Linked DNA regions of Kluyveromyces lactis. The protein of the gene in region 1 purifies or fractionates together with the protein of each later gene. This does not show direct contact. Links are inferred from orthologs where the notes say so. Each region holds a gene or a part of one and is shown on either strand. Other genes may lie near its edges. The genes, in order: TFB3 and TFB4.

Region 1 (3,048 bases):
TGTTCCCGCAAAAAATTGTATACCTCAATCACTTTATTGATCCTCCTGAAAAACAGCCAACTTATTTCAATGCGCTTATGAACATGAAATGGATAGTTTCATGGCCAGTGAAATGGAAAGTTGCTTATTTTGTCACCGTACATATTTTGTCGTTCTCAGACGAACAATACACTTTCTCAGGTAAATCTTACGACCTACTGACTAATACCAAATACCTAACTTTATCTGAAGTTGATAGGCTTTTTGGTTGCTATATGACTATTTACGTGATATCAAGAAACATATATGATATTACTTTCTCCATCAGGGAAATCTATGATTATGCATACCAATACTTAATGGAATATGATGAATTGCATCCAATTTTGAGAAAATACTGGAAAGAGCTATTCATATATGGCCTAATGAATGCGATTCTTGTTTCAATAGGAGCTTCTGCCATACATTTATGTTTGGCTCCTGATGGAAATTCTTCTCCGATTTACACCTGCCTCTGGCACATAGGATTTGGTTCTTCCCAGAGAGTTGGATTTGCAGTAATGCTCATAATATTTTATATTGATTTGACACAAGAGGGTTTGAATAGGTTTAAAAAGCAAGCGGATGATCTGAAGGAACAGGAAGATTTGGCACAAAGAAGGGTGAACAAGAATCAGAACGCTAACATTTTCAAAGATAAAAGTACGGTAATGAATTTTTGCAAGAGCAGAGACGTAGATGAAGACATTCTTCTGGAGTCAACCCCGCCTTTGAACCCACCATCAATTTTACATAGCCCCTTGCTCAAAAAGTCCACAAAAGTTGAACAGAACGAATCAATAAAACTGGTTTCTGTATCAAGTGTCGAACACTTTGAAGAAAGCTACGTTCCTCTTCTGAGAGAAAGATTAGATGAAGAAACCAATAAAAGCAGTAAAACAATTCCATCAAAAAATTTTCTACTTAGTACCATGGTAAAGATAATCGTATTTACATCAACCTTCCTTCAGCAACCTGTTAAGACAATGAAGAAGTTAATGCCATATAAAATATACAATTCTGTCAGAAAGGCAATAAACGCCCCAACTTAGCTAATAAAAAATCATATATACACAATATAACCACATTTTGCTCACCAACGCAGTAGGTCTCCTCAGTAAATGCTCCCTTTACTGTCTTCAGTATCATTTGCCTGCCGCATAAGTAATCCTTTTCTCATCATTTTGTGATTTTAGCTGTCTCTGTCATACAATATCATTCAATATCGGTGGTATAAAACAAGAAACCTTTATTTGAAAAGTTGATGATAAATAATGAACAAATTGTAAGGACAATGAATAAGAAATAGATATCAAACTAAATCATCTGGGACTACGAATCAACGTGAATCGTCATCATGGATGAAGATGAGAAGAAGGACATGTGTCCTATCTGTAAAACAGACAGGTATCTATCGCCTGATATGAAGTTTTTGATCAATCCAGAATGCTATCATAAAATTTGTGAATCATGCGTGGATCGTATATTCAGTTTGGGTCCTGCTCAGTGTCCATACGAAGGGTGCGATAAAATTTTGAGAAGAAATAAGTTCAAGACCCAAATCTTTGATGATGTAGGTGTCGAGAAGGAAGTTGATATAAGAAAACGTGTTTTCAATGTGTTTAACAAGACGCTGGAAGATTTCGATAACAACCAAGACGATTATGATAAATACCTAGAAGAAGTGGAAGATATTATATACAACTTAGACCATGGTATTGATATGGAGAAGACCGAGGAGAGGTTACGAACCTACGAAGAATTAAACAAACAGCTAATCATGGCAAATTTAGAGCGGAGCAAACAAGATGTCGCTAACTTCGAACAGAGACAGAAGTTTGAAAAGGAAATGAAGTTAAAGAAAAGACTACTAGAGAAACAGATAGAAGAAGAAGAGAGGGCTAATAGGGAGTGGGCAAAGAGAGAAATTGTCAACCAGCTCACAGTGAATGAAGATGCTGAGGAAGTTATTGAAAATGTGAAAAAGACTGTCAAGCTAAAGAAATCCTCTGCCAGAAGGAAGCTCGAAGAATTAAATAAAGTGTTAAGAAACAATCCTTACATGACAATGACAAATGGTAGAATGAAGAAGAAAGATACTGTACCGTTCACACCATTCAATGGGGACAGGGATTTACACAAAAGATACGAATTGGTTGAAAACGAGTATAATGATTCTTTCATCAGAGACTTACAAAAGAAGAAGGAATATATAGCCTCAGGATTCAGGGCGGACTTCATTTATGATAGAATGTTAACAGAGGCATTCATGGGTCTTGGTTGTATCATTAGCGAAGAATTACAATCCTCTTAGTTGTATCGCGTTGACGGCAAGTGTTGATAACTCTTCGTTTGATACATCTCCTACTTTATTCAATTTGTAATTCTACCGAAAAAAAAAACACATAGTACAATGGTAAAGAGCTCGGTAGCTCTTTATCCTCATCATAATCATATAGCATTTAGGTTAGTAATCTATTCATTATTAAGAGTCTTCTCATTTGTTCATAACTTATCACAAGGAATACATACCGTTTTGATAATTTCTTTATCGGCAGATGTAGAAAACTCATCATCCGAGACTGGAACTAGGTCCCCATCAACGGAAGCATTGCCATCATAGGGTTCTTCATTACTGTCTTCAATGATTTTGATCACAATTATATCAGTTGTTCCTTCCTTTATACCAAATCTGTTCAATGCATCGCCAATGTTCGAACTAGGAGATAGTGATAAAATGCATTCAGAATGGATAGTTCTTGTCCGCATTCTATTGTACTCTGTTTCCAAAATAGCCTTATAGATGGCACTCGACAATTGTTCAACGGATATCACAGTTTTGGAGTCGATGTATGCAAAAGGTAATTCAGCCAATTTGGATCGTAGCTCAGAAGAATTGGTAACATTGTTATACTTCTGAACATGAATAGTATACTCCTGAAACTGAGGAATCTTGTACTTCAAAACTATTCCAGCCATTTGTCTTGTGATGAGCTCTTGGAACTTCTTGGATGCAAGTCGCCTACTATC
Region 2 (3,207 bases), on another chromosome or scaffold:
TAAGGTTTTGGTCTGTCTTTTCACTATTTGGATCATCAAAATAATCAATAGTGGACAAAAAAACTTTCTTATAACGCTACAACTGGACCGAATGCACTGGAAGGATATGCACTAATGTGCTGTACTCTTAGTCATATATGAGTAAACGGAGATCATCAGAAGAGCATTGCGGGGGATATGAATTAAATGGTAATGCCGTGCTTTGTTCAGACCCACCTTGTGATCATGAATGGGTTCCTATAGAATTGTACCCTAGTCATGTCAGCCAGATGCACGAGAACGTATGTACGCAATGCTTAAGGAACTTTGCTAGTGAGTATTGGATGGAATTACATATCGAAGAATTTCATAATCCGTTCAAGAACGGTAATTACAGGCTAAGATGCCTGGAACAAGATTGTTCGATGACGTTTTCAAATTCAAACGAGAGAATCGATCATTTAAAGAGACACCATTACTATAGTGATCAGTTTGACTTTGATATTTTAAATAGTGGTTGCTGACAGTGATTATATATGTACTTTAAATAGGTATGGAAAACCCCGATGCTATTTATTACTAACATTTTTCTTCTTCGGTACACCATTGCTCAATACAGGCTTTCTTCTGAGTCTGGCGATAATCTTACTGTCAAACGGCGAGTCACAAGCAGGACATTTCTGACCTGGAGGTATCACTGAAAGCACACATAAGCAAACACTACACACAAATCCGACAGCGACCACTTTACCCGTTAGAAAACATGAAGTTCTAAAATCGACAGACCCTTGATTTGGTTTAATTATCACATTTCTCAAAGACGGATCTATAAACATGGCCGTTGATAAATATTGAATTAAACCTCTTGTGTTTTCTACATGTAAGTACACCCCACTAGTGGCATCAGTTGCTTGTTGCAAGAAAGTGCTTTCTATACCCCCACCAATCTTAACCACATCGATGGAACATTTCATTTTGGTTGCCGAGAATATACAGTTCATTATTGGGATATACTGGAATATCTCATCTTTCCCCTGGGATGTACCGCACGTTATCACAAGCAACCGACTTCTCAAGCTTGTATTCTCGTTTTCCTTCAGGATTCTGTTCACGTAAGTTAATGCACTGGACATCGCTCCACTTAAACTACTCTTCATCGAAACCTTACTCTCTTGACCTTCTAATTCTTCCTTGAACAACCTATACCATTGCTCCACCACTATCTCATCCACATTACGGAACCCTCTATACATGTCAGAACTTACCATAGACATACTAGGTTTCGAATCAGCCGATGGATACAAATATTTCATACCCTCGGAGTGTGCAGCAATGAGGCACACCTGGTTTCCTGAATTGAAAGCCAAATGCGCATTCAAAAACACTACGATGGACTTCAACGCCTCTATAAGTTGCTTCTCACCAGAACTTCCTTCCGAACCACTACCAGATTGTTGTTTCGTAAGCTGGACCCATGAATGAATGCTGGTATCAACCACAACAGTGAGAAGAGAAGGCGTATCCTCTATTTCTTGAGTCTTCGATTTGGTTCCTTGGAACACTGTATCAGCGATGGCATCCATTTTAACCGCTTCCTCTTTCAAAGAAAAGGCTATTAATAATAAAAACCTGATTTCACAAAGTTGTATTCGATCCTTTATGGTATATGAAGCGTTTTAATTTAATCTATGGGTCTAGCTTTACTCTACGATTTGATCTTCCTTTAAGATCAGCTTCAACTCTAAATGTGCCTTTCCCAAATTCATGTTACTTGAAATTTCTGGCCGCCCGAAAACATTGGCCCCAAAATGTAGCAGCTTTAACTCGAAAAAAATAATGAACAAGACATCGACACAAGCAAAGAACGAACCGCTGAGAGTCATCTTGTGTTACTGAAAGAGCTGCCATTTGTTTCCTAGTTATCCAGTGAGCAAATATTAAAGGTTACCGGTACTCAAAGCTAATCGTCTTCTGTTTATAATTTTTTTTGATATTCCAACAGGTAGTGTTTGAGAGCGTTTGCATAGCATGACTGTGGATGCTGTAAGCGAATGGAAGCACTGGCTTCTTAAGTATAAGCCAGAGGCCAGCATCACACAGCATGAATGTGATCAGTTTTTATGTTGTTTTGAAGATATTAGTGGTATTCTTGCTGATACTGGGATCAACGATAAAGAAAGAGTGCGGAGTGTTGATGTGATGAGCCTGTTAATGCTAAAGATATACCAAGTTTTAAAGAAAGGTAAGAACAGCGGTAACGACAAACCTAATGAATTTGAGATGACTGTGAAAGAAATTATGTTCAGCATTGATCAGGGGATATTTTTATTTCATTACGTTATTGATTTTTGGACTGACAATACTGTGTCCATGGAGATCCCATTGAGAAATATGTTTGAGAAGCTTTTGCAGCTAATGAACCACTTGTATGGGAGTACACTGATGGAGACGGTGCTTTATGGGTGGGTTGAAACTGTTTTATCATTACAAGAAAATATGAAAGTTCAATATTATTTGTTAGACATCTTCAGTGGTCAGATCGACCTATATGTGATTCTGCGATTGAAACCAAATTTCGTTGAGACTTGTCTCAGTTTGGTCTGGGCGGAAACTCTGTGTACACAAGTTGGAAAGTGTTTATCTAACGTGTTACTAAATTGGTATAAATACCACTTTGATGAATCTTCGATAGAACAATGGTTGTTATTATGGAAGCCTTTATGCTGCCATTATTTGAACGATGCTAAATATACGAAAAAGATTCAACTTTATGTCTTGTCAAATGTTTTCAAGCAGCTTCCAGAAAGTTTTGGCATATTCATAAGAGAACATGAAGGTTTTTCTAATACATTACTGTTATCATTGCTGAAAATCGGACAAGAGTTGGCTATAGAAGAAGAGCCTTTCCATGATGAAAAATATATCAGTCTGGAAGACGTTAGGTGTCTACTGCAACAGGATCAATATAAGCTTCCTACCTTTGAACTACTTACATATTCGAATAAAAGATCTAAACAGATACAACCATACATTTATGACATTATAAGAGAAAACATAACTATCTTTTTTGTCGATTATAATCTGCAGACAAGAAACTATTTCCACAGTTCACTAAAATCGTTCATTAATAGAGTTAGAGATTCTGCTTACTCGTTGAATAGAGATGCTTGCAAACTAAAACAGAAAGGAAAGTTTCCTGAGGAACAACTCTACAAAAGGAGACACGTC

What was found.
Region 2: the proteins of TFB3 (region 1) and TFB4 purify together in Saccharomyces cerevisiae (affinity purification with western blotting; 5 studies listed by BioGRID, with this or other methods). This does not show direct contact. The link is inferred for Kluyveromyces lactis from reciprocal best matches to the Saccharomyces cerevisiae genes TFB3 and TFB4.

What each region holds. Positions count from the first base shown.
Region 1 is NC_006039.1:1,295,967-1,299,014, forward strand, and holds TFB3 (TFIIH/NER complex subunit TFB3), read left to right. Parts: upstream 1-1,375; coding exon 1,376-2,332; downstream 2,333-3,048. Other genes in the region: KLLA0_C14850g (uncharacterized protein), read left to right, coding at 1-1,070; CGI121 (Cgi121p), read right to left, coding at 2,524-2,997. UniProt on the Saccharomyces cerevisiae protein: Acts as a component of the general transcription and DNA repair factor IIH (TFIIH or factor B), which is essential for both basal and activated transcription, and is involved in nucleotide excision repair (NER) of damaged DNA.
Region 2 is NC_006038.1:756,010-759,216, forward strand, and holds TFB4 (TFIIH/NER complex subunit TFB4), read right to left. Parts: upstream 1,563-3,207; coding exon 549-1,562; downstream 1-548. Other genes in the region: KLLA0_B08547g (uncharacterized protein), read left to right, coding at 138-503; tRNA methylation protein TRM732, read left to right, coding at 2,008-3,207. UniProt on the Saccharomyces cerevisiae protein: Component of the general transcription and DNA repair factor IIH (TFIIH) core complex, which is involved in general and transcription-coupled nucleotide excision repair (NER) of damaged DNA and, when complexed to TFIIK, in RNA transcription by RNA polymerase II.